Linked DNA regions of Diceros bicornis minor. The protein of the gene in region 2 binds, or shares a complex with, the protein of the main gene of each other region. Links are inferred from orthologs where the notes say so. Each region holds a gene or a part of one and is shown on either strand. Other genes may lie near its edges.

Region 1 (15,673 bases), on a different chromosome or scaffold from region 2:
TTTGCTGAGGAAGACCGGCTCTGAACTAACACCTATTGCCAATCCTCCTTTCCCCCCCACCCCCCCAAAGCCCCAGTAGATAGTTGTACGTCATAGCTGCACATCCTTCTAGTTGCTGTACGTGGGACGCGGCCTCAGCATGGCCAGAGAAGCGGTGCGTTGGTGCGCACCCGGGATCTGAACCCCGGCCGCCAGTAGCGGAGCTCGAGCACTTAACCACTAAGCCACGGGGCTGGCCCCCAAACTGATTTTAAATGCCACCTTTGTCATATTTGGGTTTATTTCCATACTTGTTATACAAGTCCCCAAACTACACTGCTTTACTTAGTATACTTTAAGGTATAGTTTAATACCTGGTAGAGCTATTCTCCTTGTATTACTCTTCTTTTTCTCCTAGAATTTTTGTTTATTTTTCTATATATCTATTTCTCTTTCCCCCAAAATTACGTTTTCATTGAGATTGCATTAAAATTATAAAGGAATTTAGGGAGAACAGACATCTTTACAATGTTGAATTTTCCTATCCAAGAACATGACATAAATTATCATTTTTTTCTTATCTCTTTTGTGTCTTTCAGCAATCTTTTAAAGTTTTATTCATAGAGATCTTGTACATTTCTTAAGTTTACTCCCAGGTAGTTTATCTTTTGGTTTGCTGTTGAGGTCTGTACTTCCACTGTCTTCTCATTTCTTGTATCTCATGATTTCAAACTATTCTCAAACCAAGAGCTCAGGTAGGAAGGAAGCAAAGCATTTATTGAGAAAGACTGTAGATAACAAGGCCATAAATTACTTATAGGCACTGGCCTAGAATGAAGGGGTAAAAAACTAAGAAAAAGGAGCTTTGGTTTTGTGTCTTACAAAAATTACCCAGTATGAAAGGATTAACGGTTCTGGGCACCAAAAAAAAAAAAGAGGTAGTCTTGGCTTTGTAGATTTAAAATCGGAATTCACACACACCAGAAGCAGGGGGAACATGGGCAATGCTCTCAAGGGAGCAGTTTCTGGTTACCGAGATAAGAGGCTAACACAGCGGTCCAACCGGGGAGCCAACCACTTGTGGTGGATGAACAAGTGAAAAGAACGAATGAACGAAACCTAACGCTATATCCCTGTTTTCATGATTATTTTACATTTTCATGATTATTTCTTAGACTCAAGTAACCAGAAGAATAGGATAGAGAGGAATATACAAATGTAAAGAAAAAAATTTAAGACAGGGACTGCTAACCTAAAGTAAACCAAACAAGTTAATTTTTTATTTGGAATAAAAAATCCTTTGTTTCCATTTTTGGAAATGAAACACACGCACATGGAACACCAGAAGTACACTGGGTACACAATGAAAAGTAAGCATACCTCAACACTGGCCTCTCATCCAGTCACCCTTCCCAAGAGGCATTATAATCTCAAATAATAAAAATGGGCAACATGTCATGATTAGTGAGGAGCTACTGAAAGAAATGTCTCCTACTCCAGTTCTATTTTTAAAATCAATTTAAAAGACCTAAGCATTTAAAGAATCAAAGTGTTCAACCATATTTGTTAGAAAAACAGACTTCCACTCCCATAACAAATATTTTCATCTCATTTACCTCATTATTTAGAAACGTATCTCCATGTTTTAACATTTGAATTGGCACTTCTCGATTTCTCAGTTTCAGGCATTCTCTATTGACTTCCCACAAGGAAAGATGAAGATTTAGTTTTCTTCCCCTCACCTCCCACCAGCCCCCACCACCCACACCCACACACACACACCCTTCCCATTCTTTTGGTTAGTCAATACTCAGTGTTCATATAATTATGACTACGTAAATACCATTCACAACTCTGATTACTTTTCCTTTCTCACTGTTCCTTACTTTTTCTTTCTCTGGAGTTACTGTTTTATTTGCTTGCTTAGTTTTCCATGTACTTACACAATTTCAACCAACAGCTTCCATTCCAATTCAAAATCTTACTCACTGCAATATTCTAATAGTGAAAAAGTAAAAGCAAATCAAATATCCACCAATGGGGAAGTGGTTAAATCCATCATGGTTTTTCTATATTATGAAATACTTTGCAGACCTTAAAAAGAATAAGGTTAATTAACAAGTATTGATTCATGTACCAAACTAAGCCTTTAATTTTATGCCTTTCTGTATACCTGTAACTTTTTCATATTTTACAATGAGCATGCATTTTTATAATCAGAAAAAAAATATAAGAAAACGTAAAGTAACCAGAAAAAAAGTAATCTGAATCATATTTTGTTTGTAGTTATTCATATAACAATAAGGTTTAAAACTTTTTTTCATTTCATTTAGCTGCTAGAAAAAAGTCTGAATTTTTGTTTTCAGCTGCACAAGTCTGGCTTGTAGGCCAATCAGCTCAGAGATGTGTAAAGAGATTCAACTTTGGAAGAAGGAAAACCAGAATTTTCATACTTCCAAAGCAAAACGTTTTCAGAAAATGTGCGGAAAGGGGTGATTGTCAAGGAAGCACTCACTTATCCTGAACCAAAGACTAAATTACAAATAGTAAAATGCTTCATTTTCATCCCAGACAGCTGCAGGATGGAGCAGCATCTAAAGGTACAAGCTCAGGGACTAGGCCAGCCCGACTTTCTGGGGAGGTCGCTGAACCAATCACCGCCTTGGCTTCCATGTGTCAAGTCTTCATAAAAACGCCTACCCTTTGCGTTCCCACCGTGGTGCGATGCACAACTGCAGCGACATGATGGGGTTACAACAGGAACACTGCTCGGCCTTCATGACCCACGAACTTTCCCGACCACCCTTCCATGAGGCCAGGCCCGGAAAGGACGGGGCCAGCGACAGGCTGTCCCCAGGCTTCTGCACTCTGTCAGGACGCAGACGCTGACAGCAGTGGCTAACCTTCTTGGGGTTGGAGACGGCTTGGAGAAGTCGAATGAAACGAGAAATTTACCTCTCAGTAAATTAAACCAGTAAAAGAGGCCAGTAAATAGGCTTAGGCCAATGAGCCTGTGCACACAACCTCCATGGGTTCGCGAACCCTTAAGATCCACGCTGGGCTCCCCGGGGGCTCAGGCCGGGCAGCTCGCTACCTCCCTCCCACCGCCACCACCGCCCAGTCCCCGGGGTGGGGGGGCTAGAAAAGGGCAGGAATCACGCACCGAAACGAGCGGGACGCGCAGGTGATCCCCCTGCAGCCGGTTGAAGGCGGGGAACGTGCTCCACGCGAGAAAGCCGCCGCGCTCGGATCCTAGCAGGGCTACGAGCAGCACCTGGTGCTGGAAGCGCACGGTCGGCTGCTCCTCGTAGCTGCTCCGCTTCAGCCAGAACCCTGAGGTAAAGAAGGCGGGAGGGCGGTAGGGAGGAAGTCAGGAAGGCCGGCCGGGGCGCCGCGGGCCGCAGGGGCTGTGCTGCGCACCGGCCGGGGGCAGGCTCACCGTGGCTCCGGAAGGCCACCAGCAGCGGCGGGATGTACGTGAGCACGGCGGCCAGCAGCAGGAACACCGCGGCCTTGGAGCAGAGCCCCGCGCGGTAGCCGCGCTCGGCCGGGTGAGAGTAGAGCTCGTAGAGCGCCATGAGCTCCGCGCGGACTAGCGCCGCACGCCCGGGACCCCTCCGCGGTTCGAGAGGAACGACTAAGTTTGGCTTCTCCTAGTTGCCATAGCTGTGGTCTCCACGGCAACCGACGGCGCAGGGAAAGGAACCAATAGCAAGGAAGCGGGGCCACCGTAGGGGCGGGGCTGACGGGGGCGATGCGGGCTGGTGGACGCTCGACCCGCTTTACGCGTTGCGTGCGTTTCTCCAAAGGCTGGGTGGAGGTAGAATGTTTGCGTGCACCAAAATCATAGCCACCGCCCGTGTTAACACTTGTGTAAAAGAAGATTTTCATAAAAGTTGCCTTACAGTAAATAGCTGCTTGTATGTTATCTGTTAATCCACAATGTGGTTCATACTTAAGTCCAGCTAGTCACAGCACACCCTACATGGGAGGAAAACACACAGAACATAAACTGGCCGTGATCCTCCACCTGTTCCTGGGATAAGACAAAAACCAGGTCCCTTTGTCTCCAAAGTTTCGTTGCTTTCACTCTACTCCATAGTAGGACAGACATAGAAACAGGACACAAATCTCGCAGCTCTTCGTGGGATAAAGGATAATTACTACATAGCTCTCTGCTATACTTTGTTACATGTATTGGGTACAAGCCTGGCTACTGGTTTTAGAGGAAGCTATGGTCCTCCCCAAAGATAACATTGGCTTATCACTTAATTGAATGTTTCTAACCCCCAAACCAGTATTTCGAGCATGGCAGAAGGATTTTTTTTTTTTTTAACCATGGTTCACAGCCAAGTTCTTCATCAAAAGGGCTTGAAGGATCACACTGCAGTGCCAAGAGATAGTGTGAAGTTTGTGCTTAGAGTGGAGTCCAGTAGTTGATGCCCCTATTTTGAAGGCAACCTAGAAGTGGCTTTTAGATGAAGAGAACAACTGAGATCCTAACAACACAGACAGAGGGAGGTCAGGATCTGCCCATTTGGGATAACTAGCTAGGGCCCTTACCATAGTCCAAGGTGACAGTGTCATCGGCCATATGATGCTTTTGACATATCTGGTCTAGTCCTACTCATTCTTGCTTTACAGCTTTTCTGGGATGGCAACACAGCTCTTAAATACAGCAATTGTTAGCTTAAAGCTATGTTATGATTCTGACATTATATTCTATCTATGGTTTAGTGGATGACTTTCATTTATTTAAATAACCATTAAAATAAGATTCTAGAATAAATGGTTCTACTATCGCATTGTGAGGGTGGCTCTGAGGAAGGAGGTGTTTCCCTCCACAGGTCCTTCTTTCAGCAGGAAACACACACTGTAGCTAGTGTCACTTGGTCACTGCTGAAACAGGGAGGTGACTGCTAAGAATTTAGGTGTATGTGTTGGGGCCCGGTCTGGTGGCGCCGCAGTTAAGTGCGCGCCCTCTGCTGCAGCGGCCCGGGGTTCGCAGGCTCGGATCCCGGGCGCGCACCAAAGCGCCGCTTGTCAAGCCATGCTGTGGCGGCGGCCCATATAAAGTAGAGGAAGATGGGCACGGATGTTAGCCCAGCGTCAGTCTTCCTCAAGAAAAAAAGGGGAGGATTGGCATCAGATGTTAGCTCAGGGCTAGTCCTCCTCACAAAAAAAAAAACAAAACAAAACAAAAAGAATTTAAGTGTATGAAGTGCTTCAGCCTCCCCTGAGATGCCATGAGCTTTGCAAAAGTATTTAATAATAACAGATACTAAGGGCCAGCCCCATGGCTTAGCGGTTAAGTGCACGTGCTCCGCTGCTGGCGGCCTGGGTTGGGATCCCAGGGGCGCACAGACGCACTGCTTCTCCGGCCATGCTGAGGTGGCGTCCCACATACAGCAACTAGAAGGATGTGCAGCTATGACATACAACTATCTACTGGGGCTTTGGGGGAAAATAAATAAATAAATAAAATCTTAAAAAAAAAAAAAAAACAGATACTAATATTTACTCTGTTTCCATGATTTGAGGAAGCTAGTCTTTGTGTTTTTATTTCAATTCTTTAAGAGAATATTAGATTTTTTTAAATGCTAAAGATCTGTGTATATTGTGTCATTTTCACACATTCATGACTGAGAACTGACTTCTCAGTTTCCATTTCCATAATTTTCTCATGTTTCATACAATTTACCTCCAAGATCAAAGAGAGTTGTTCTCTTAAAACTACACATTTTAATCATGTTTTACCCCTTTCTAGAAGCTCCCATTCAGGGTCTCTTGAATCAGTTTAAAATTCCTGAATTTTTGCTTCAAGGCTTTGCAACATTTTTTTCACATTGGCATTTATCTATATTGCTGAACCTTTGGCTTCCCAGTTCCCCATTCCAACTTCAGCCTTTGTTTCTATCTTTTTTTTTTTTTAGGGAAGATTGGCCCTGTGCTAACATCTGTTGCCAATCTTCCTCTTTTTTCTCTTTTCTCCCCAAAGCCCCAGTACATGGTTGTGTATCATAGTTATAGAGTCGTAGCTCTTCTATATGGGACGCTGCCTCAGCATGGCTTGATGAGTGGTGAGTAGGTCCGCCCCCAGGATCCCAACCAGCAAACCCCGGGGCAGGCCCCCAAAGTGGAATACTCGAACTTAACCCCTATGCCACCAGGCCTGTCCCTGTTTCTATCTTTTAAGGGAAGTTTATCCTTTAGAAAATGTACTTTTCTTTCTGAAACATAAGATTCACATTCTCTGTGAAGTCTTTCTTGGTAAGCCTTGCTTGGCTTTATGTCAGCCCCCATTGCCCTAGCCATCCCTCAGTATCCATGTTCACACACCTCTCCAACATTTGAAATTTATTCTGTGTGTGTTATAAGTCTGTTAATGTGTCATTGCATATATTGATGATCCTATTTCTCCTCCTGACTCACCTCTTCAACTAACCACCCCCTCAAGGAAGGCATCCAGTGTCCTTAGAACATTCAATCAGCTAAATGTAATGACCCAATAGGCGAAGAAGGTGATGCATATCATCAAGGCAGATCAGAGAAGCCAATTAGAATGGTGAACTGGAAAAAGACATCAAGAAAGTAGGTAAAGATAGAAGACAGAAAGACATTGCACATCATTGAAACAGGTGACACGACTATCAATTGGGTGAATGGTGGATCTTTCCCCTGAGAAGTGTACTAAGCTCTTCCAGGCGCAAGGTGGTGTACACATGCCTTGGACTAGGACACAATGACCAGCTCTGTAAAGGGAAGCAGGGATCTTCAGTCCAATTCTAACTCCTCCACTGATTCACAATCAGATGGTGAACAACCATCTTCATCCCTCAGTGTTTAATTCTATTTGCAAAAAAGGTATTTTCATTTTTTCACTCACTCTCTAGCTGATCTCATCCAGTTCAATAGCTTCAGTATTTCTCTTCTGAATCTGAGACTCATAGATCCATTCACCTACTCTACATCTTCACTTGGATATGTCTCTTGAGCATCTCATACTTAATATATCCAAAACCAAACTCTTGATTCTCACTCCTCAAGCTAGCTCCACTCTATTTTAGTAAATGGCAATTCCATCCTTTCAAAAACCCTGACTTGACTTGTCCCTCATACCTCATATCCAATCTATCAGCAAATTTTGTCTGCTCTACCTTCAAAATATATCTAGAACACAACTGCTTCCCACTGCCTCCACAGACACCATCTTGGTTTAAGCCAACATCATCCTTCACCTGGATTATCACAATAGGCTCTTAACTGTTCCCTTTGCTTCCATCCTCAACCCCTTATAGTCTACTGTCTACACAAAAGCTAACCTGATCACTTAAAAAGGAAAGTCATATCATGTCACACCTCTGTTTAAAACCCTCCACTGACTCTCATTTCATTCTAAATAAAATCCAAATTTCTTCACATGGAATTCAAAGCGCCACACAGCTTTGTTCTAGATCTCTTTGATCTCATCTCCTAACACATTCCTCCTTGCTCATTCGCCTCCAGCCACAAGTGGATCCTTCTTATTCCTAGAATATGCCAACCACTTTACCTAATTAGCATTCTATCCCACCATCACTCTAGTCTCCAACCCTGCTTTATTTTCCTGAAACAGCACCTATCGTTACCCGACATATCTATTTTCTGTCTTTTTTTTTTTTGTGAGGAAGATCAGCCCTGAGCTAACATCCATGCCAATCCTCCTCTTTTTGCTGAGGAAGACCGGTCCTGAGCCAACATCTATTGCCAATCCTCCTCCTTCCCCCCCCCCCCCCTTTTTCTCCCCAAAGCCCCAGTAGATAGTTGTATGTCATAGTTGCACATCCTTCCAGCTGCTGTACGTGAGACGCGGCCTCAGCATGGCCGGAGAAGCGGTGCGCTGGTGCGCGCCGGGATCCGAACCCAGGCCGCCAGTAGCGGAGCGTGCGCACCTAACCGCTAAGCCACGGGGCCGGCCCCTATTTTCTGTCTTGTCCAACTAGAATGCAAACTCCATCAGAACATGGGTGTTGTCTGTTCTGTTCACTGCTTTTCCTGAACACCTAGAACAGTGCTCCTATATGCAACAACAATAATTTCTAGGTACAAAATTCAAAGGATTTTTCACTTCATTAAAGACAAACAAGCAAACAAAAACCTATTTTGGTTACTCAGACACACAATCTTAAAATAACAAAGATACCTTTAGAATGAAGCTAGATTCCACAGCATCCATCAGGAATTTCAACTGTAGGAAATGATGAATGACAATGTTCAAACATACAGGTCTTTCAGCTGCATCAGAATCACAAGCACGCGGCAAGGATCATGTGCCCAATTAAGTCAATAGTCTTGTTACATATTTACCATCTCATAAACAGATGATGACCCAGAGCAGACTGCCCTGATGACTCTGCTAGGAAGAAAGGAATGACATCACTGGAGAACCTCATGGCATATGCTCAGGCAGGTGACACATACAGTGTAGGCTGTGATTGCTGAACCCTACGCTGCCGGTCAAAGAAGCCCATCTCATGACCAGCTCTTAGGGGAATTCTCCGAGCCTGCTAGTCACCTCTAGCTCCTCTGCCAGTTAAGATTAAGGGGGCTCTTTGTGATCAGTGTGATGTTACACTCTTCAAACGCATATTTGTGATACTTTTTCTTATGTTTATTCAAACATTTACTCATGAACAAAGGGAGGAAATGGGATTTGTTTAAATTCAATTTTTAGGTCCGAGGAAACCTATTATGGCTGTCCCCAATACTGAACCCTTGGGAAGTCATCAGCTCCCCCCCACAGTCTCCTCACACACCCCATATTGAGCTCCCAACCTGTTACCACTCCAAACAATACTCCCCAAACTGTCAAGGCCCGAAACAGACTCCCCCTGCTATCACCAACCACCAGAGACCCCTCTTCTGTCATTCATACCACCAAAATGCCCCTCCTGTCACCAACGCCCCAGTCAGACTGCCCTCATGAACAGCCCTCTACAAGAGCCCTACCCTATCAGCCAGACCCTCAAACTCCCCTTCTCGTTACCCACATCCGCCGAGACCCCAAGTTCCCGAATATCCTCTCCCCAGTCTCCAATATAGCTCACAGATGCCCCTGTCATCAACATCATCACCCCCTCTCCCCTGGCGGCCCCCTCGCCGCGCCCTCTTGCGTGTGGCCCCACCCCTTGGCATGGCGTCGGGATGAGCGCGCCGGAAGCCCCGCCCCCGGCCGGTTGCTAGGCTCCAGCAGCCGGAAGTCCCGCCTGCCGTGTAGTCGCTGCTGCCGCTACCGCTGCCGTCGTTGTTGTTGTAGTTGGTTCGCTGAGCTCCGCGGCTCCGAGAGCCGGGTGCGTCTCTTTCCGCCGCCGCCATGAAGTGGATGTTCAAGGAGGACCACTCGCTGGGTAAGCGCTCGGCCAGTGGCCGGGCCGTGGGGCCTGGGGTGGCAGGTGAGCCCCCTCCCCCACTCAGGCCGCCCTGGCCTGGGCCCGGCGGGGCGGATGCCGAGCTCTGGGCTCGGGTAGCCAAGGTCCCAGCCCCTGGGGCAGCTGCCCACGGAGCCCGTGTCGCCATCCGCAGGCTCTGCGGGAGCCAGGGGACCGAGGACCGAGGCCGCCAGGACGCCCAAACGAGGGCCCGGGGGGTGCGCAGGTCTCGGGGGCAGGAGGGCCAGGGGCTTGGGAACCAGCTAGCGGGCAGACGCGACCGTCAGCTCGGTGTGTTTCTCTCACAGAACACAGATGCGTGGAATCTGCGAAGATCCGAGCGAAGTATCCTGATCGGGTTCCGGTGAGTGGACTCCCCGCCCCCTCACCCCGCTGTCACCCCTGTCGTCTAGGACTCGTGATAGGGCCCCAGGCCATTCAACAGTTGACAAGTTGAGCTTCCGTCCCAGTTATAGTAGCAGACGGGCCAGACTGGGTTAGGGGCTGTCCGGGGGCCGGGGCGTGAGGGGTTCGAGCTGGTGCTGTTCGGGGTGCCTCAGTGCTGAATCTCCCAATCTAGGCCAGCGAGCTGTCTGCAGCCTCTGGGCTCCCTCGCCAATTATGTAAGGAGTGATGTTCTAGGACAGGGCAACAGGTCACTGCCACTTTGGGGAACAGTGGTGGGGGGAGACTGTCACTTTGGTCTTGGAAGTGGTACTTGTAGTCTCAGGACATTCATCTTTAACTTTGAGCCTCCATCTTTACCGGACTTCTAGCTCCCTTTCTTCACCCTGACCTGGTCATCCTTTCCTGACCAAAAAATATCTGAGAAATGGCTGAAAACCCTTTCTTCCATGGTTTCCCCTTAATTAATAATAAAAATGATCCTATATTTTTTCCATGGTAGGGGAGATAGTTTCTGTAATCCTTATTGATTTTTAAAGGACATCCAGGCCTGTTATTGTAGCTCATTGCTTGTGAACAGTTCCTTTGGGGAGGAGAAGGGTAAGAGGGACAAACTTGAAACCTAGTTCAGAGAGCAGCAACAGGCCAAAGGAAGAGCTTGGTTCTTGGCTGGCTGGGATTGCCAGTCATTCCTATTAGTCCATCCATTTTTGTTTCCTATGTTCTTTGGGATCTTAATTTCTCTGTAGTGTGAAGGCAGATCCATTCTGGGGTCCTGGAGTAACAGCCTCATCAGATATTCTCAGGTCTGCCCAGACAAAAGGTTGAAAAGCTTTGTAGTAAGGGCTGTGTTTCTCTTATGCATGTTGAGATCAGGGATGAGAAATATAATAACTGACCACAGAAAAGCACTTACCGTTTCCCTAGAAGACATTTATATCAGTTCTTAACCTCCAGAGTGTGTGGTTTATTAAGTCAGGAGCATATTTTCTCATGTTACACAGTTTCCCACCCACCTCCTTGCCCACACATTGTTCATTAGCTTCCCAACAGTGCAAGGCCAGAGCCTCACATTAGAAATCCAGTCCTGACCTCTCTTTGCTTTCCTAGGTGATTGTGGAAAAAGTCTCAGGCTCTCAAATTGTTGACATTGACAAACGGAAGTATCTAGTTCCATCTGACATCACTGTGGCTCAGTTCATGTGGATCATCAGGAAAAGGATCCAGCTTCCTTCTGAAAAGGCGATCTTCCTGTTTGTGGATAAGACAGTTCCACAGTCCAGGTGAGAGGTGTTCACTGTATTGGCCATCTGCTTGGCTGCTTACAGAACTCAAAACTTGGGAGGTCTGAAAACTCTTAGAGGTTCTGACTGGAAATCTGGATTTTGTGCTCCCTGACATTAGGAGCTCAAGGGAAATAAGAAAAGGCTGCAATACATGGGAGTGTACTTTGGGTTAAGAAAATGGAACAAGGCCTGGACTTTTAAAAAAAAATTATGAAATCCAGCCTCAGTCTCCCCAGGATCCCTTAAAACAGTTGAGGACTTACTTAGGCTTAAGCCATTAATAGAACTGAAGCCTGAAATGAGGTTTTCTCCAAATGATTCATATAATAAGACCTGTCATTCTCCACCAGGAGCTCGTGGGCCCTGCTGTAGCTCAGCTTTGGGTAATCACCTTGCCTACTTGCTCTCCAAACTCAGTCAGCTCTGTGCCACTGTGAGGGTCTGTGGCTGCCTAATCCTCACGTATGCTAAAATGGCTGCCGTCCAGCAAAGTGCCCTGAGGTCTCTTTACAGACTTACATCTCCCTTGGCACCACCTGCTCTGCCTGGCAGAGTAACTGCCCTTTGCTCTAGCTGTTGTGCTGCCTGGAAGCAATCTTTGGGATAACTTGGGGCCTGAATCTAGGCAGGAGCATTACAATTCCCTTCTTCTGTATAGTTGACAGCCCAGCTTTAGTTCCCTGTGGAAAGAGGAAAATGGATTGGCTCAGTCTAAGTCCCTGGTCAGTGCTTTCCTGTTACTGATTGAGGACTTCTAGGGCCTGAGCCAGATGCTGGCCCCTCTCCCCTGAGTGTGAGTTCCTGGCTGCGTCTCATCTTGGTGACCCAAACTAAGTTTCATTTGTTACCTCCCAAAGGTAGCACTTCTAAAAGCTAAGACTTTCAGAATCCCTGGGAACTAGCCCAATGTGGCCAAAATATATTCCTTTTGAAAATCCTTGAAAGCTCCAGAGAGGCCTAAGCCAAATTCCAGTCCTTTCCCTACAAAAGGTAGAAAGCTCTGGCTATATTTTGTTCTGATTTTCTCTCTTCCAGTCTCCACCACCTCCACTTCCTGCTGTTTGGCAGAGGAGCAGGATAGGGGAGAAATGGAAGGTTCTTCCCTAAGGCCAATGTCTTGTCTGGGGAGACAGGCCAGGCCCTGCCTGCTGGGTGCCATTGATCTGCCACAGCTATAGCTCAGGAAGCTGCGATATTGCCAGAGGTGATCTTGTCACCCTGTTGGGTTCTTCTAGCCTTCCTTCCCAGGCCTCTGGGCAGTGTGGTGCTGGGTGCACTCTTCACCAGGGGAGGAAGCCCTGGGCCCCTGTGGTCACTTGTGGCTTCCTTTAAGGTGGGAGAGAAGGCAAATCTTTATTCATACCACCTGCAACTTCTGCAGAGCCTTGGCGACCCTGTGTTTCCTCCTTCCTGGAGGTGGTTTCTTAGTGGGAGGAAGTAGGTGAGTAGGACCTATGGCATTGAGTTTATTTTCTTTAATTCTGATCCTCTGATACTTCTTGAAGGAAATGAATCAGGCTCTGGAGACATTAAGATTACTCTGATGGCTCCACATTAATCTAGCAATTAAAATGGCTGCAGATTTTAGCAACTGCCCCCTCCCCCATTATCCCTGAGATATAAATAGAATTGGAAATGAAAAGTGATTCTCAGGGCAGCAGAGTCTGCATCAGGGCCATTTTCTCTCCAAGTCCCATTTGCCTTTCCAGCCTAGTGAGAATCTACCCTAAGGCAGATTACACCAGTGACCCAAGTCAGGATTTTAGGATCACTAACCAGGGCCCCTCTGCTCAGGCCCTGAGTGCCTTTGGCCCCAGTTAATGTCTTCCTGCCCCACACTTAAAGCAGCAGTTCTTTGTTTGTTTGGGGGTTTTATTCTTACAAACAAATTTGTTTATAAACAAGAGAGGCATGTGACATCATTGGGCTTTATGGAGATGCCAATCGCCTGAAAGCACAAACAAAATTGCTACAGGGTCTCCTTCCTGAGTGACTCAGCTTCACCATCTCCTCCTCAAGGCAGTTTAGCAGCCTCTTCCTCAGCTTTTTCCAGCCTCCTTAGGGAAACGCAGGGCCTCCTTTAACCTTCAGCCAGTGCTTGCAGCCTTCAGAGAGTGGCTGGGGAAATCAGAGTTGAGAAAGGATGAACCCAGGCCTGCAGGAGCCCTCCCCTATCCATAACAGGGATCGCTTATGTCTGAGGCTGAGCGGAAGTAACTCCATTTATTCTTGCCTTGGAATGGAACTTTGGGAGAGTGTTCTGGAACACAAGTGAGCACCATGTAAAATGTCGTGATTATTGTTTAGAGTAGTTAGTATTAAATACTGATTCTAGAAATAGAGACAGGCAAGTCCCTAAGAGTTTTACTTCCTAAATTCTGATTTATGTTTTTTTAAAAAGGGGGAGAATCTCAATTGCCTTTTCCCATTTAGCATTGGAAGGTTGAATTCTCTGCCTAGGTGCCTGCATCCAGAATCAGGCCAAAAACAAAAGGAGAACTATGCCTTGGTGCAGACAGGACTTGAGAAGGAACATCAGTGTACAAGTTTTCCAGTCATGGTGTTAGAGGGGAACCCAGGCAATTGTGCCTACCTTGGTGGTCTTTGTTTCGAACACAGACTAGTCTTGTTAATCTCCCCTTTAAAATAGAAACAGGAGTATATTATTATTAAATAAACTGTCTCTATGATGTTATAATTTGGGAATGTTACATTGGGAAACCTCTGCTGTGTTTAAGATTATGGTGTTTAGTTGCTTCTGGATCTTAAAGAGGTACTAAGTAAAAGGAAGTTGTGATGTCTTATAGTCCATTCAAACTTTATTTAGAAATGTGCTTAAATTAAGCACTCTGGATCGTTTCTGGGTAAGTATCTCTTCAAGAACAGGGTTTATTTCAGCAGTAGAATAGGGTTTATTTATATCAGAGAAAAATCTGATAAAAGGAACAAGCAGTAGTTAATTTTTATTTTTTAGAATCTCGGGGAGGCTTCAGGGCCATATTCACTTTCACTTTGAGGCGAGTGCCTTTCCCGGATCCACAGCAGTGGCCATTGTCCTCGTACCTCACCCCGCCTGTCCTCCCCCTGCTGGAAAAGAGATAAATCCAGGTCCAGTGGAAGCATGTAGGCTCCAAAGCAGATGGGTGGCCAGGTGTGCCCATCAGTCCAGCCAATTCATGAGTCAGGCTGGATCCCACAGCCTCCATGACCTGACCTTGATCAGGGGCCAAGGGGAGGTTCTGCGGGGATTGGGCAACCCACACAGTTCTAGGTCAGCCTCCCTCAATTCACAGGCTGCTGAGAAGCTTAAAACTAGTATTTGTCCTCAGCAGCATGGCCATTCCTGGAGGTGGATCCTTCTGAAAGCTGCCTTTATTATTGGTTAGTTGGTCTGGATCTGTGTGACCCTGAACGGAGGGGTAGGGGACAGGGTTTTAGGGAGCAATTTAGGTTCATTTCACTCAGTACTTCGGGGTCCCACCACACCTTAGATTGACTCCATGGCTTGAATCTGATGTTTTCCCATTTCTTTCCTTGTCAGACTCAGAGCTTGGAAGGTGGCAGTACCCCTGGTAGCCCTGGTACCCGGAGGAGTGCGTGTAATACTCAGTGCCACAATGGTGTGCATTAGTGTTAGGGACTGGAGGCCATCTCTGGTTGTCTTCTGCAGCCAGTAACTTAGGCTGGAAGCCTTGGAGTTGCAGTGCTGCTTGCGAATTGTCAGTCCATCCAGCAGCCTTCGCAGCTTAGCCTGACAGATGCATTAGAGCTGCCTCTGTGCTTTAGGATCCTCAGGCATTCCTGCACTAGCAGTGGCCTGCCTAGTGCTGTGTGGCTCAGGCCTCTGAATTCTGAGAGGGAAGCTCATCATCTCAGAGGCTTATGGAACTTGTTCTACACTGACACACTAGCCTTCTGCTAGAGACTGCCTGCTGACTAGGGTCACGTTTTCCTCCCTGCACTTCCACTTGACTGTTCGTTTAATGGGACTTAAAAACAATTTTTTTCAACTGTATTAGTGGCCCAGCTGTTTTTGGCTCTAGGGCAAGTTATTCTGACTCTGTATGTGTGTGGCCTTATCTCACAAGTGCTATTTTCAAATCGTACTGTACAGATGTGCCAGTCTTCTTTCATGGCACCCAGCAAAGCCTCGAAATCAGGCGTTCAGTCACAGGCTGCTGAATGGAGTGTTTAGCTCCCAGAGTTGAGCGTTATCAGTTTTCAAGTTCCTGCCCAAGGGTACCCTGAGAATAAGGACACGGTGCTGCCGCCAACTAAATAAAGTTTCCACGCGAGGCTGCGTGACAGAGAAAAGGAGAACAGTGAGAGGACTCTTATTAAAGTCACTAGGCACAGCCATCTAGTCGTCAGATTACAGGATCTGAAGGGGAGAGTGCTGAGACTTGGCTACTCGATGTGTGATGCAGAGGCTGGCAGCAGTGGCTTTAGCTGGGAACTTGTTAGAAATGTAGAATCTCAGGCCCCACTCTGACCTTCTGAATCCAAACAGGCACTTTAACAAGACGTCCAGGTGATTCCGTATGCATGTTTGTCTGTGTGAGAAGCCCCGTTCTGAGGGAGATCGCTGCAGAAGGT
Region 2 (15,955 bases):
GCCACGATAATTAACATTTACTAAGTGTTTATGTTCAATGTGGTTTCCGTGTATTTACTCATAGACCCCATGATGGACAGGCTGAATACAACAGAATTTTGTTTCTAGCTCACATAATAGTCCAGCGTGGGTGTTTCAGGTGGGTGGGTAACCCTTCTCCATATGGTGGTTTGGGGTGCAGGCCATCCCTTAAGCCTGTGGTCATCCACGTGGTCATGGCCAGGTGGCCTTGGCCTGGGTCCTGCTGGCGGAAGAGGAAAGGGAGCCCGGGAGGGACACATGTTCTCTCACAAGCCCCGCCAGAAGTGGCACATAACTGCTTCCAGTTACCTCCCTTCCCGAGAGATTAGTCACATGGCCACGGCTCCCTGCAAGGGAGTCTGGGAAAGGTGGTCAGCCAAGTGCCTGGAAAGCAGCGAGGGGTTTGTGGAGGACCGCTAGTGCTCTCTGCCACCTCGTCTAAGAACCTTCACAAAGAGGACTTGAGTGACCATCACAGCTGTGCTTCCTGAGCACCTCCTGGGTGCCAAGTGCCAGTCCAGGAGCCTTGTACATATTGACTCCTAGAAGCTGTGCATCTAGGAACCTACAAAAATAGAACCTTAATTATAATTACAGCTGCCACTTTCCCAGTGCTTACAGAGTGCTGCATGTGATTTGCATGAGATCATCAGGTCCTTAGAATAACTCTGTGAGGTAGGGGCTGGGATCTGTTAATTCATTTGACAAGTAGCTTTTGAGGACCTGCTGGGTGCTAAGCATTGCGAAGACACCGGTGGATAAAATAAAATCCTGTCCTCCTGGAGCTTCCGTGGGGGCGGGAAGGGGCCGCTGGTGGGCACAGACAGTAAATGAGTAAGATGTAGCATATGCTGGATGGTGGTAAAGGCTGTGGACAGTTCTGGAAGGGGGTTGCAATTTGAAGTAGTGTGGTCCTCCCTAGGAGGTGACGGGGAACTAAGCAGAGACTTGAAGGAGGGAGCCCTGCACATGAGTGGGCGGGAGGAGGCAGGAGCCTGCTAGCGTGTCAGGAAGGCCAGAGTGGCTGGAGCAGAGGGAGGGAGGGATGAGGTCACAGGGGAGCATTTTGGCTCTCGTTCTGAGATGGGAAGTAGTAATTCACAGAAGTTTGGCACCGAAGCTCCTTTGAAAATAGAAGCCTAATTATAATGATAGTTATCATTTACTGGGTATTTACCGTGTGCCAAGCCCTATTCTGAGGCGCTTTATGTGTGGTAACTCATAGAAGCTTGGCAGCTAAGAATCTTCCAGAATAGAACCTGAATTACCGTAATGACCATCATTAAGTCAGCGCTCACAGTGGACCAGGCCCTGGGCTAAGCGTTTTATATGGACAGTCGCATCGGATCCTTATGAGGTAGGGACTGTTATTTACTCATTCGTTAAACAGTGATTTCTTGAGCACCTGCAGGCTACAGGCACTGTTCTGGGAGCTGGGAGCAGAGCGGTGAACACAATGAACTAAACTCCCTGCCTTTGTTGAGGTTGTATTATGATGGGGAAGACAGAGAGATATGTAATTAGATATGTAAGTCGAATGTATAAAATGTATAGAATGTCAGAAGGTAATAAGTGCTGTGGAGGAAAAGGGAAGGGGGTGGGGAGGCTTGTGTGTGTGTGAAGCAGTTACAAATAGGGTGGTCAGGAAGGCCTCACTGAGAAGGTGACATCAGAGCAGAGACCTAGAGGAGGGAGAGGAGTGAGCCATGTGGCTGTCTGTGGGAACAGCAAGTGCAAAGGCCCTGAGGTTGGAGCCTGCTTGGGATGTGTGTGGAGGAGCACACGTGGCCACAGGCTGTTGCTGAGGAAGGCGGGGGGAAGACTGGTGGAAGGGCCAGGTGCGTAGGCCATTATACTGACTTTGGCTTTTCCTCTGAGTCATTGTCATAATCCTTAGAGGCGCAGGGGCTATTATCGTGACCATTTTACAACTGCTACGACTGGGGCACAGAAAGGTTGAATTGTCTGCTAGAGGTCACACAGAAGCAGAGCCCGGGTTTGATTCCAGACAGGTTTGATTCCTGGATGCAGGGTGCACATTCTTAGCCACTGAGCCACCCACCAGAAGTAGCAGTCTGTGGTCCACAGCCACCGTCTGACTGGCAGGAGTGTATTTGGTCTCCACAGAGTTACTGAGGTGTTATAATCACATCGGTTACCAATATTTAAAAATGGGCAGATTTCACATAAAAATGGAAGTTTCTGCCTTCTCTTGAAAAATTGTGAGCTCTAGATTGCTGAACCCACAATCCCTTGGGGTGGTAGTTTGCTGAACAGGGACATCCTCTTAATGGGGCACTCCCTCCCGTATGCTAGTCCCCACCATCTGGTATCTGGACCCCTCACACCCTGCTCGCTTCACTGATTTATGGTACCTACATGGCCCCAAAGGGTATTTGCATTTTGATGCCTGTTACCATATCTTAGACTAGAGCATCTTTCAAAACCCACACTTCATCCTAGAAGCTCAGAATCTCAGAACCTGACATTTATCCACTCTGAACTGAGACTTGTATAACCACTATGGCTTAGCCTCACTGAATCTCAGAATCATCAAAGGAGAAATTCACAGCTCATTAAAACAACATGGATTTTGTTTTTTTTTTTTCCTTTCCCCAAAGCCCCAGTAGATAGTTGTATGTCATAGTTGCACATCCTTCTAGTTGCTGTATGTGGGATGTGGCCTCAGCATGGCCAGAGAAGTGGTGCGTCGGTGCGCGCCCGGATCCGAACCCAGGCCGCCAGTAGCGGAGTGGGCGCACCCAACCGCTAAGCCACGGGGCCTGCCCCACAAGATGGATTTTATTTCCCAGGGCAGCATGCCTGAGCCCTCTTCTGCCCTAAGACAGGGCTTTCTAAGCACAGATGTAGAGAATTATCCTTTCATCAGCAGAAATTCCTAAGGATCACGAGAGACTAGGAATCAAGAGACATGGTCTGCTGCCAGTGGGTTCGTTTAGTTCCTCAGGGCCCAGTCAGGCTATGGAAGCCAAGCTAGGAATCCCAAAGAGAGCGTTTAATACAGGGGATTGGTTACATGGGTGTTAGAAGGCTGAAAGCTGAAACGTGGGAAAGGGAGGTAACCGAGAAATCAGTGTCTGCAAGAAGCCCCCACCTCTAGGACTGGGATACAAAAAGAGTGGGATTACCAGAACCCAGTAGGAGCTTGGAGGGCAGGCCACGTGCGGCTGGAGCAGGGACCAGTGATGAGGTGCCACGCAGTTGGTGCTCAGACCTCAAGAGGGACACGCTGCCTTCTGAGAACAGTACTGGACCCCGAGCTGCTGCTGGAGGGGTGCCAGCCAGACCCCAAAGCAAGGGGAGTCCCTTCCCTGTCTTCCTACCTTCCTTCTGCCCATACCTGTCAGGGGCAGAACTTAAGGAAGCCTGCTCTCGAGGGAGTCTGGGAAGCATAGTTCACAGAGCAATGTGGAAGAGCTGGAGGCCGAGAGACACTACGTAAACTGCGCCCAGTCAAGAGTATTTTTTGAGCCTCCGTGGTAAGCGCTGTCCTAGGTGCTGGCAATGAAGCAGTGAGCTAGACAGGACACTTGCCCTCAGGAGCTTGGATTCCAGCATAAAGATATGGATAAGGACATAAATAAAAGTGTGATAATTCCAGGTGTTGAAGAGTGCTAGGAAGAAATTAAATCAGGGTAAGGGTTGGAGGTGCTTCTTTAGCCAAGCAGGTCGAGGAGAGCCTCTCGGAGGAGCTGGCACATGTTGAGACCTGAATAATGAAGAGGCAGCCTTGCGAAGTTCTGGGTAAGAGCACTACAGGCAGAGGGAACAGTGAGTACAAAGGCCCTAAGGCAGAAGCCAGCCTGGCATGTGTGGTGGGAGTGCAGTGAAGATAGAGCAGGGAGGGAGTTGAGATTGCTGAGTGGGCTGGGGCCTGGTCATTCTTGGGTATTGTGGGCTTGGGCACAGTCTGTGGGTGTTATTTATGGGATGTGGAGGCTTATAAATGAGGAGTGCCCTGTAGTAGAGACTGGAGGGGGCTGCAGTGGTAGCAGGGGCACAGTTAGGAGAGTGGGGCTGGGGTGAGGAGTAGTCGGGCTCAGGAATTTAGAAGTCGAGTGTGCAGTTTACTAAGACGATGGCAGTTGTGGAGGCAGGAGTCACGCTGACCCGTTTTAAGTTTCCCATTCGTCATCCAAGTGGTTGTATCTCATGTAGGTAAGTCTGGGGTTTGGGCTGAAGATAAAGATTTGGAACTTCCCAGTGATGCTATTTAAAGTCTTCAGAATCTGTGACATCTGGAGAGTGTAGAAAGAACAGGAAGCCAAGGGTGTACTTGGGCAGGCTGCTCTCTACCTGGGGAAAGAATGTGGGCTTAGATCCTTAGGTTTGGGTTTGGTGGAGCCACTGTGGCAGTGGTGTGAAACATCTGACTTAGAAACTTCTGGGCTTTCACCAGGAGCCAGAGGAAATGTTTGGCTTTAGTGAATTTGATAACTTGGAAAAAAGTGATGGCCAACCTCCTCCAAACCAGTTTCCCCATAAGTCACCCTAGCAAAGAGATCCAGGTTAGATCCCTTCCCCAAATCTTAGACACACACACCCCCCCCACTCCTGCTAGACTCCTGCTAGAGGTAGTATTTCCCAGGGCGGGAATCCTGCTTCCAGGCTGAGAGTAGGTTGTATGTCTATCAGTTAGACCAGGGGTCGGCAAACTTTTACTGTAAAGGGCCAGATGGTAACTATTTTAGGCTTTGTGGGCCATACGGTCTCTGTTGGAACTACTCAAGTCTGCTGTTCTATGTGAAAACAGCCATAGATAATACGTAAATGAACGAGCATGACAGTGTTCCAGAAAAACTATTTGCAAAACCAAGAAGCAGGATGGACATGGCTATAGTTTGCAGATGTCTTCCTTAGGCTATAAATTATGCTGCATGTGACAGAGACCCAAAATAATAGTGGCTTAAACAAGATAGAGGTTTATTTCTCACTTACAAGATAGTATGCAAGTGGATGTTCTAGGGCTGGTATAATGGCTCTGCTCCATGAAGTTGACCAGGGACCCAGGCTCCTGCTCTCTTATTGCTCTGCCATCCCATGTGTTGCTCTCATGGTCCAAGATGGCTGGATACCATGTCCACATTCCAGGCAGGAAGGTGGAGGAAAGGCATGTCCCTTTCTGAAGCTTGAGGACTCCCACTAGGAATTTAGCCAGAACTCAGTTACATGGCCACATCTAGCTGCAAGGGAATCTGGGAAATGTAGTCTTTGTAGCCACCATGTGCCTAGCTAAAAATTGGAAGACAGCTATCAGTTTCTGCCACATCCGTTTCACTTTTGGGCTTTAAAAACATCCCTCAATTCAAATAGAGTCTCTGATTATTGCATGCAGGACATTAACCACTCCAGGGGCAGGGCAGGTAATGCAGGGAGGTAAAACTGGCCTGGTTGGGCCTTTCAAGAGCTGAAAATAGGATCTTAACGGGAAATCTCCCACTGTTGGCCAAATACAACAGGAAACAGAAGGTATCTCTGTTTGATTCCAAACTAGTTTCCACACAGGGTCAGGCCAGCTCTGCCCGGAGCTCCCCCTCCCCGTGCCCTTCTTATGTTCTCTGGGAATTCATGTTCAAAAGCCAGTTCCTTGTTTAGACATTTTAATATAGACCTTTTCTGTTTTTAGATATTATTTCTGTCAGTTTATTGATGCCATCTCTCCTACACATATAAAAAATATTCCATGGCCAGAATGGTACATAAAGTTATTTAAATGGGCAATAAATCATCGGGGGTGGGGGGAAGGCAAAGCCATCCAATGCCATGGCCCCTCCTTGAGTGGGAAAGGCTGGCAGGGGTGGGAGGTGACAAGGACTCAAATTGCAACCCCACATGACTCAGAGTACAGCTCCCAACATTGCAGCCCCATCCCCAAGGGCCCAAGTTGCTCCACATCTGGGACCCATCAAGTGGCATTATAGGCCAGCAACACCTCACCTTTCCTGCCCCCATTCAGGCACAACTCCAGAACAATCTGCTCCTATAGCCCACGGCATCCATCTGGGAAGAATTAAAGATGATTACACAATCTGCAGCTAGCTGTGATTTCAAACTATTTAATTGAGAATGAGGGAGATACAAATAACAATTTTCCCTCTCTTGCTCATTTTTTTTTAAACAAAAGATCTCACTGTTGTCTGATTTCACCATTTCCCTGAAAGCCTGTGTCCTCCAAAGACTGAAGCTCTAATTAAGCATCTTCTGGGGTCCTCTTTATCAGGAGCCCTTTGCCTTTCCAGGGAGGGGAGCAAATCCCTCCAAGGCCCCCATCCCATATCAGAGGAGGGTCCTACCAGCCACAGAGCCCCCATTGCCCTGGGGAGGGCTTAAGCTGCACTCAGAGCTCCCCTCGGGCATGCCGGATGTAGTGTTGATGCAGCCCAGCTTCCTGGGCAAAGTCCTGACCACACTCAGTGCAGGCGAAGGGGCCAGGAGGGGTGCGGGCCTCGTGCGCCTGGCGGTGCCGCCTCAGAGAAGCAGCCAGCCCAAAGGTCTTGCCACAGTCAGGACAGGCGAAGGTGGGCTGGGCAGTGGTGGGTGCAGCCGGCAGCGGGGGCCTGGTGGCTGGACCGTGGCTGCGCTGGTGGGCGATCAGGGCCTTGGAGGAGGGGAAGGAACGGGCACAGGTGAAGCAGATGAAGAGGGCCCCCTGCAGCTTCTGGGCCACGAAGTCCGCTGGGTGCTCCCGCTTCATGTGACGCTCCTGGAACTTGGAATCGGCGAAGGTGATGAGGCAGCGGGTGCACTGTGGGACCCCCAGGTGGCCTGAGGGACGTGGGGAGAAGTCGGGGGAGGCCAGCAGGAGTCTCCGGGAACCTCTCCCAAGCCCCAGAATCATGCCAACAATTAACATTCAGTGCTTACTATGTGCCAGGTTCTATGCCAGGGCTGGACAGCAAGCAGTACAGGCAAACTCTTATTGGACCTGTTATGGGTGAGCAGACTGAGGCTCAGAAAGGTTAGGCAACTTGCCCACAGTCATGAGGCTAGGAAATGAAAATGGTGGAGTCAAGACTGGAACCCAGGGAGTCTGCCCTTCCAGCCAGACTCCTCTGGGGCCAGACTGCCTGGAACCGAGTCCCAGCTCTGCCACTTCCTAGGCAAGTACAACAGGTTCCTCATCTGGCAAATGGGGTGATAACCCTCTCAGTATCTGCCTCATAGGGTTGTTGGAAGGAGTACATGAACTTTTATTTAATATAAAGTGCTTAGAACTTAGAACAGTGCTACACAGTGGTCTGCAAGTATTACTATTGAGAAAGAGAAAAGCAGCCCGACAGCTGGGAGCTGGCCTTGGTGGTCTCCTGTTGAACATAAACGGTGTCACAGAACGTCGTCAGACAAGGCCATGCTGTGGCTAAGACGCATCAAGACAACAGGACCACACCATAATAGCGTCTGAACGCAGACACAACTGTGAATGTTGTCCAAACCACAGAAATGACCAGACGCCCCCATCCTGGCTCACACGAGTGCCTGTGCTGCTGCTGCTGCAGTCAGCTTGCGCCTCTCTTTGTTCCACCCTCCTTCTAGGTGAGAGTTATTAAGATGGCCAGCCATACAATTGCCCCTGCTTCCTGGCAGCATCCAGTCCAGAGCAAACCCCTCTTCCTTGAGCCCCCCCCATATCACCTATCACAAGCCCAAATCCTATCATAAGTTCTTCCTAACGCTCTACTACTGAGGTGCCCCACAGTGCCCCCATGGTGTGTGTGCACTTCCTCAGTACAGTGAGCAATAAACCCAACTTGTGCAACTGCAGCTGTGTTCTGGTGGTCTCTGGCTGGAGGGCGTTGATACTGCCTCCAATTGTTACGGATACTTCTCTGTGCCACAGTTCCCTCTTCTGCAAGTGATAGTAACCAATTTTACAGGGTCTGTTAGGAGGACTGAATGGGATAACGAATGTTAAGCGCTTAGAATGCGCCTAGCACATCATAAGAATTCAGAAGAAGCTGTTGCTATTATTATATGTCATACTGGCTACCTTCATTAATATCAAGCTTTCCCCTTTTTTGTCACTAATCCCCATAACAGCCCTGTGAGGTGAGCAGTGGCAACCCCTTTTGACTGATAGGGAAACTGAGGCCCAAGTCACAATGGAAGTCTGGGGCAGAGTTGGGACTGGAACCTTAGGGCTCCTCTCACAGTCTCTGCCCTCTCCCAGCTGCATCTCCCACCCGAAGCCTCTTGATGCCACTCTGTCTCTCTGAAATGCATCCCACTCATGCTTATGTGGACAGAGCAGGGTGGGGACATCTGAGCGTAATGGGGGTGAAGGTGAGGAGTGGCACTTCCTGGTAGGGCAGGACCCCAACAGGCAAGTCCCTGCAGCACCTTGGACACTAAAATGCTATAGAAATTCTCTTAGCATCAGCTCCTGCACCCCACCCTCCTCTGGCCAGCAGTACTCACAGATGTCGCCTCTTGGACTGCTGGGACTCCTTTCCCTGGACGAATCCTGCTGCTCCATGATCTCTTTGGGGTGCGGGTCCTCCATGGTGGCTGGGACCCCTCTGGTCAAGAGAGGAGCACGGATGATAGAATAGTAAATCAAGTGAAGTCGCTCATCTCTCGCCAGCCTTAGAGGGCCCGCTAATCCTATGACCTTTGACATAGAGGCTCTCCTTGCCAGCCTTGGACCCCCACCAGATACCATCTCCTTGAACTCTAACCTGATGGAGCTCTCCCTAGAGAAGCTTCAACCCTCCCAAACCATTTGACTCCCCGGGGTTTGTGACTCCCCTTAGAGCCTTCTCACCTGTGTGAGACCTATGACCTTCTACATCAAACTAACTCCTGAACTCAGCGCAGGACCCTTGATCTTTGACATCAGCCTCATTCCCGTTTCTCCCACGTGTCTTGAGGCAGGTAGTGGTACCCACGCTTTAGCTCGCCTCTTCCCAGGAGACATCCTTCTCTGACATCCTCTAACTCTTGTTCCACCCAGAGCCCCCGCCTCCCACGCGCTTTCAGCCTCCGTGTCCCGCTGCTCCCAGCACTGCCCTTGGCTCCCTCCTCCCGAGGCGGGTAGCCCAGGCCTCTGCTTTTTCTCCAGACAGCACAGGGCTGCCTTTCGTTGCGCCTGTCAGTCGCTCGTCACAGCGCCGCCACCCGGAGGGGAGCAGGACAGGGCCCACCGAGTCTCCAAGTCCCGGTGGTTTCCACGCCCTTTCGCCTGTTGAGCCTCTCGAAACCGAGATCCTGGACTGCCATCCGGCAATGATGCAGTCGCGCCAACCGGCCCTCAAAATAACGGGTGGGGTCCTTCTCCGCACTGGGATGCGTTATGATGACGTTGCAAGCCACCGGTGCCGTGAGGACCTAAGCTCATTGCGCAGGTGTGGCTGGGCGCTCCTGGCGCGCAGGCGCTGTGCCTCCCTCATTGTTTTAGGCCCTGCGGCAGCCGGAGCTGGGGAGCGAACGCACTTTGGCCGTTCTGCGCAGGCGCTGCGGCTGTGCTCCGAGATCACGCTTCCAAGACACACCCCCTCCTAAAAGGAGTGACGTCAGGTTAGAGTCCCCGGGACGTGTCTGGACATCCCCAAATCCCCGCGCTCTAGGCTCTTCGGCCTCCGTCCGCCGGACTCCAGGGGCGGGGGTGCTCAGCGGCTGACCAGCCTCCATCAGCTGCGCTCTCCCTTGTGCCGGCCGTTGGCTCGGTTAGTGATTCGGAAGGGGGTGGGGGGGAACATCTGTACCCTTGAGAGAGGAGAGGGCTGGAGGCCGAATTTCTGAGTTTTCGAAGCAGAGAGAGAAACATATCTAGAAGGAGAGCGGAAAGGACGCCTGGGTCCCTGGGGAATAGGGTCTGGGCGCCGGATTCCCAGGTCCCTGGGAGTGACACCCGAGAATGGAAGAAGGGAACAGGGTGGAGGACTGACGTCTGACGCCAGACTGGGGCGGCTAGAAAAGACAAAGGCTGGGGGCTCCCTGACCCCCGTCTTCCCCACCCCTTGCTTTCCAGCTATGCCTCCGCCGCGGGGTGACGTGACCGCCTTGTTCCTGGGGCCGCCGGGCTCGGGAAAGTCTGCGCTGATCGCAGCGCTGTGCGACAAAGCTGTGGAGATGGTAGAAATCCCCGACGGACGGCCGGACTCCGGGATCCCCAGCCTGCGAGCTGCGGGCCCAGGCCTCTTCCTGGGCGAGCTGAGCTGCCCACCCGCAGCGCCGGGACCCTGGGCGGCCGAGGCCAACGTGCTGGTACTGGTGCTGCCAGGCCCCGAGGGGAACGGGGAGCCCTTGGCCCCTGCGCTGGCGGAGGCAGCGCGGGCCGCCCTGGCCCGAGGGACCCCGCTGCTGGCTGTGCGGAACCTCCGTCCTGGGGATTCACGGAATGAAGGCCAGGCCCGGGATCAGACAGCGGCCCTGCTGGACAGCGCGGGGTTGGGGGCCGCGGCTCTCTTCGTGCTGCCGGCGGACTGCGGCAGCAGAGACGGCTGCGAGGAGCTGGAGCGCCTGCGCGCGGCGCTGCGGAGCCAGGCGGAGGCGCTGCAGAGGTGAGCGCAGATTTTCTGGGTGGGTTGGGGAGGCCTGGTCCTTTAGTACAGACCTCACACCGATAAGGGACTCTTTGAGGTCCGCGAGACCCCCTACCCCAGCGACTTTGGGGCCAGCCTTAACCAGATACCTGCTGCAGGTCCTGCTCCCTCATCCAGGTCCTGCTTGACTGTTCTCTCACGTCTAGGCCCACCCCCAGCCAAGGGTCAGCTGGAAGTCCCGATCTGTCATCCAGTTCCTGCCTCAGGCGAGGTCACAAGCCCCGCTCCCTAGCAGGAATTCTAGGAGAGGCTGGGACCTATTGTGCAAATACTGCCCCAGGCGAAAGCTTGAAGAAAGGCTCAGTCTCATCACACAAGCTTTTGATCCCGGCGAAAATTTTACCCCAAGACTCTTAAGTCTTCTCCGCCCTTCCCACCAGCAGCTTGGTTCTCAAGCGACCCCACCCTCAATGAGCTTTGTTATTTCCAGGTGCCCTCCCCCACTTCCTTTCTCTAATCCCATCTGGTTTCGGTGCCCACTTGCTGCCCACCTCCTGAATTCTCTCCCCCAACCCCGAGCCGCCTCATTTTATAGATGTCAAAAATGAGGCTCAGAGAGGGGCAGCCTCTCCTCCAGGCCCACTGCTCGTCTTTATTCCTTAGCCATCCCCCGTGGTAAGAACTAGCAGATGAGCCTTCTCCCCTCACTGGTCCCTACTCCCCTCCTCACGCCTAGTCTAGGAAAGAGCGCCCATGGTGACCTTGCCCATGTCAAATAGTGCTCGACTTTCTTTTACTCCACAATACAGTCTCGATTCTGCCTTTGCTCCAAGCCCCAACCTCTGTGAGTTTTGCCCCACCCAGCACGCCTTTACTTAACCCTGCAGGTCCCTCGGAAAAGCCGGGTCCCAAAGGCTGTATCCGGGAGAAGACTTAGTGGGGTTCCCATTTTAAGCTCTGTTGGAAGCTCAATCAGCCCGCCCCATCCCTGCTTTAAGTCCTGGTTTCTGTTTGCTGTGCCATCAGTCTGGCTTCCCACTCCAGCTCCCCCCTCAGATTATTCGGAAAGCCCCGCCCTTGTCCTCATAACCCAGTCCTGTCCTCCTAGCCCAGCTCTCCACCGTTTAGCCCCTCTTCTGCCCATGACCCCATCCCTCCCTGTCCCCACAGGTTCCTGCCACCGGCTCAGGATGGCTTCGAGGTACTGGGCGCAGCAGAGCTGGAGGCTGTGCGTGAGGCCTTCGAGACCGGTGGCCTGGAGGCGGTGCTGTCGTGGGTTCGCGCGGGCCTGGAGCGGCTGGGCAGCGCACGGCTGGACCTGGCCGTGGCCGGCACGGCTGACGTGGGCCTCGTGCTGAACATGCTACTCGGGTTGGATGCTGGTGACCCAGGTGCGGTGCCTGCTTCGGCGCCCGCGGGGACCACGCCTTACCCGGCCCCAGAGCGCCCCAATGTGGTGTTCTGGACCGTGCCTCTGGGCTCCGCGGGCACTGCGGCCGCCCCCCACCCAACCCACTACGACGCCCTCATCCTTGTCACCCCTGAGGCCCCCACTGAGAAAGACTGGGCTCAGGTCCGGCCCTTGGTGCTACCAGATGCGCCGCTAGTCTGCGTGCGAACAGATGGTAAGGGCGAAGATCCAGAGTCTCTGGAAGAGGAAGAAAAAGTAGAGAAGCCCAGTTGCGAGAGCTTAGAGAACGCAGGCGGAGAGGGGTTGGAGAATGCAACTAGTGAGGGAAGGGAGAAACATGGCACTGGATCGCAGAAAGCAGGCCATGGGGAAGGTTTAGAGAAAGGAGGCCATGAGAGTTTGCAGCAGGTTGGCGTCGTCGCGAAGAAATCGGGCAGCGGGGACTCAGAGCGGGCGGCCTCATTGAGCCCGGAGGACGAGACGTGGGAGGTGCTCGAGGAAGCGCCGCCGTCCGTGTTCCCCCTGCGGCCGGGCGGACTCCCCGGGCTCTGCGAGTGGCTGCGGCGCGCGCTCCCCCCGGCGCAGGCGGGGGCGCTGCTCCTGGCGCTGCCGCCCGCGTCTCCTCGCGCGGCCCGAACGAAGGCAGCGGCGCTGCGGGCCGGGGCGTGGCGGCCGGCTCTGCTGGCTAGCCTGGCGGCGGCGGCGGCCCCAATACCAGGGCTGGGCTGGGCGTGCGACGTGGCGCTGCTGCGGGGTCAGCTGGCGGAGTGGCGGCGGGCGCTGGGGCTCGAACCGGCGGCGCTGGCACGACGCGAGCGCGCGCTGGGCCTGGCGCCTGGGGAGCTGGCAGCGCGGACGCGCTTCCCCGGCCCGGTGACGCGCGCCGAAGTGGAGGCGAGGCTGGGCGCCTGGGCGGGCGAGGGCACCGCCGGGGGCGCGGCGCTGGGTGCGCTCTCCTTCCTGTGGCCTGCGGGCGGCGCGGCGGCCACCGGCGGCCTGGGCTACCGCGCGGCGCACGGCGTCCTGCTGCAGGCGCTCGACGAGATGCTGGCCGACGCCGAGGCGGTGCTGGCACCCCACGCGCCCGCGCAGTGAGGGCTGGGGCGAAGGCGGGGCTCCCGGGGTGCCCGGCCTCCCGGCTGCTTGGCTCCCCCAGGGCCCGGGGGGCTCCAAGTCCCCGTTACAAGGAAGGGGTTTGGGGGTCCAGACTCTGGCATGGGGTGTCTGGGCCTCGGAGATAACAGCGGGGGGGGGACGGGCGGGCTGCCATTCAGTATCCTGGGTGTTCGAGGGGGAAGAGGGCTCTGGCTACTGGTTGGAATGTGTGACTTCTAGTTACCCGGATTCCTGGGTCCTGAAGGGAAATAGAGTCTGGGGGACAGGACTCCTGATTTCTCTGGGGACCACGGATCATGACACCAATACTTGTGTTCTGAAAGGAGTTGAGAGGTTGGACTCCTAGAAGGGGGTATATCTTGGTCTCCAAGGGAGTAGAAACTGGGGCTGTTGGGCATCTAGTCTTCCAGAGGGAGAGGGGATGGCAGCCCTGATTCCTGATGAGGGGCATCTCCATCATACTCCATCCACTGGGAATTCCAGTGTGGAGAAGGGGGGGTCTAGTACCCCAGGGGGCTGGAACCCTTGGACTTCTGAGCCACAAAGGGATATAGAGTCTAGGTTTCCTGGGGAATGGCCTGCACACAGCCTCCCAGCTCCTCAAGAGGCAGTGGGCTTTGAATCTTCATTGGGAGGAGGGGCAGTCTCTGGGGTCTCAGACTCTTGGCTCTCAGGAGGGCTGTGGACCTTGGTTCCTAACTCTTCCGTGGTGGGAGGGCTGCATCTAGAGGAGGAAGCAGGGGGCTGTGTGACAGAGCGGAGACCCTTTTGTCCCTCTTGGTCTAATATTTATTCCTTTTGGGGGCCTGGTGACCCAGACTCCTTTCCCAGCTGTTGTGGGGAGGATGGCCCCACAAAAATGAGGGGAGGAGGCAAGAGGGAGGTGGTAGGCTCTGGGGGTAGCCAGAGACCAGGAATGAGGTCTTCTGGTTATGGAAGGGCAGGAACCCACACCTCAGAGGTTTCTCCCACAAATCCCTAACAGATGTGGATCCTGGCAACTGCCCCTCTCTCTCTGTGAGTTTGGCCAAGAAGGGATATGACTGCCCCCATTTTATAGGTGCTGGCAATTCCGAGGTTCTTTGGGGAGTCTTCCTCTCTTCCTCCCTCCTTTAGGGGTTTCTGTCTTTTTTTGGTCTTGGTTTCCTCTGTCTTTAAACCTTAACCCTTTCTGGCCTTGGTATTTTGTACACCTGCCTTTCTGGAAAAGCAGCTGTACTGCTGCACTAACCCAGGCGTGTCTGTTTGGCTACCTCAGGTATCCCCAAGAGGCCCTGCCTTGGAGTTGAAGGCACCCACAGAACAGTGGGGCAGTGTTCCAGAGCGTGTGAATGTACCATGAGTGAGGCAAAGACAGAAACCACAGTGCTTGGAATGTTCTAGGCTGCCAGCTACATGTAGAGGAGAAGCCACAGGTCACTGAATCCTTCAATGTCAAAAACAGAAAGGGGGGACCTGAGGGGCTATCCAGTAGAATCTCTTATGATAGATGCGGAGAGCAAAGCCCAGAGAGGGCAGGCTCTAGGCCCAGCAGCACATAGCAAGGCCCTATGTGGTCTGGCCCCTGCCTGTTCACATGCTCTGCCCTACCTTATCCCCCAACCAGCTTGACAAATCTTCCTACTGATGCTTGAGTGGGCCACCTTGGGTCCTACCTCAGGGCCTTTGCACTTGCTGTTCTTTCTCCCTAGAATGCCTGGCTGTCTTATCAGTCACGTCTCACCCTAACTGCCCCTCAGAGAGGCCTTCCCTGACTGCTCTAACTGAAGTAGCTCACACACCCCCATTATTCATCTCGGCCTGTTAATTTTCCTTGTAGCAGTTATTACAATAGAAAATCACTTTATTTATTTATTTATTTACCTGTTTATTGGCTATTATTCCCTTGCCTGTGTTGTTCTCTTCTGTACCCCCAACACCTAGAATAGTGCTTGCCATATAGCAGGTGCTTAGTAAATATTTTAATTCATTCATCAGTGGCAGAACCAGGGCTGGAATTTAGAGTGCCGGCCTCTTGTCACAAGACAGGGAAAAGGAGCAAGATGGGGGGAGAAACAAGCATCTAATGGGAGAGAGAGCCCTTGTCTGAGGTCAGGAGACCTGGGAAGCAAGCGCGGCTTTGCCACTGTCACTCTGGGTGACTTGGACCAGTGCCTTATTTTCCCATCTGTGAAATGAAAGGGCTGGACAAGAACCATACGTAGGTATGGTTCTAGACCCTGTTTCCTCTGACGGCTGGGGACAAGGGTAACCGATCTGAGGGGCAGATACTCGAGGGATGGTAACCCCATCTCCAGCTTGAGCGTTCAGGCCTCTCCATCAAGTGTGCCAGCCATGTGGAAGAGAGGGAGAGCCACCAGGCAGCGCTGTCCAGTACAAATAGAATGTGAGCCACGTATGTAATTTTAAATTTTCTTGTAGCCACATTAAATTTTCATGTAGGCACATTTAAAAAGTAAAAGGAGGGGCCGGCCCCGTGGTGTAGCAGTTAAGTGCACACACTCTGCTGCTGGCGGTCTGGGTTTGGATCCCGGGCGCGTACGGATGCACCGCTTGTCAGGCCACGCTGTGGCGTCGTCCCATATAAAGTGGAGGAAGATGGGCACGGATGTCAGCCCAGGGCCAGTCTTCCTCAGCAAAAAGAGGAGGATCGGCATCGGATGTTAGCTCAGGGCTGATCTTCCTCGCAAAAAAAGGAAAAGTAAAAAAAAAGTAAAAGGAAACAGGTGAAACTAATTATCATGTTTTACTTAACCCAATATACCCAAAATATTATCATTTCAACATGTAATCAATATAGAAAAGTATTAATGAGATATTTTACATTCTTTTATGCTAAGTCTTTGAAATCTCGTGTGTATTTTACACAATTCAGGTGATAACTTTTCATCAGAAATACCTGACC

Evidence for each region.
Region 1: the proteins of IRGQ (region 2) and GABARAPL2 are in contact, whole or in part, in a crystal structure (PDB 8Q6Q), measured with the Homo sapiens proteins. The link is inferred for Diceros bicornis minor from reciprocal best matches to the Homo sapiens genes IRGQ and GABARAPL2. Residues at the interface, in NP_001007562.1 of Homo sapiens: Asp7, Thr9, Leu11, Pro47, Leu49, Phe57, Pro70, Trp71, Glu74, Pro181, Ala182, Gln183, Asp184, Gly185, Phe186, Glu187, Val188, Leu189; in NP_009216.1 of Homo sapiens: Ser10, Glu12, His13, Cys15, Val16, Glu17, Ala19, Lys20, Ile21, Ala23, Lys24, Tyr25, Arg28, Pro30, Lys46, Lys48, Tyr49, Leu50, Val51, Pro52, Phe60, Ile63, Arg67, Phe104.

The regions. Positions count from the first base shown.
Region 1 is NC_080771.1:25,996,819-26,012,491, forward strand, and holds the start of GABARAPL2 (gamma-aminobutyric acid receptor-associated protein-like 2), read left to right. Parts: upstream 1-9,222; 5' UTR 9,223-9,331; coding exon 9,332-9,365; intron 9,366-9,694; coding exon 9,695-9,750; intron 9,751-10,901; coding exon 10,902-11,074; intron 11,075-15,673. Other genes in the region: TMEM231 (transmembrane protein 231), read right to left, coding at 1,596-1,678, 1,923-1,977, 3,143-3,312, 3,419-3,557. UniProt on the Homo sapiens protein: Ubiquitin-like modifier involved in intra-Golgi traffic. Modulates intra-Golgi transport through coupling between NSF activity and SNAREs activation. It first stimulates the ATPase activity of NSF which in turn stimulates the association with GOSR1.
Region 2 is NC_080773.1:18,198,747-18,214,701, reverse strand, and holds IRGQ (immunity-related GTPase family Q protein), read left to right. Parts: upstream 1-9,492; 5' UTR 9,493-9,555; intron 9,556-9,595; exon of another isoform or gene 9,596-9,704; intron 9,705-10,009; 5' UTR 10,010-10,011; coding exon 10,012-10,541; intron 10,542-11,693; coding exon 11,694-13,029; 3' UTR 13,030-13,170; downstream 13,171-15,955. Other genes in the region: ZNF576 (zinc finger protein 576), read right to left, coding at 6,380-6,807, 8,458-8,558, 8,928-8,956. UniProt on the Homo sapiens protein: Autophagy receptor that specifically promotes clearance of misfolded MHC class I molecules by targeting them to the lysosome for degradation.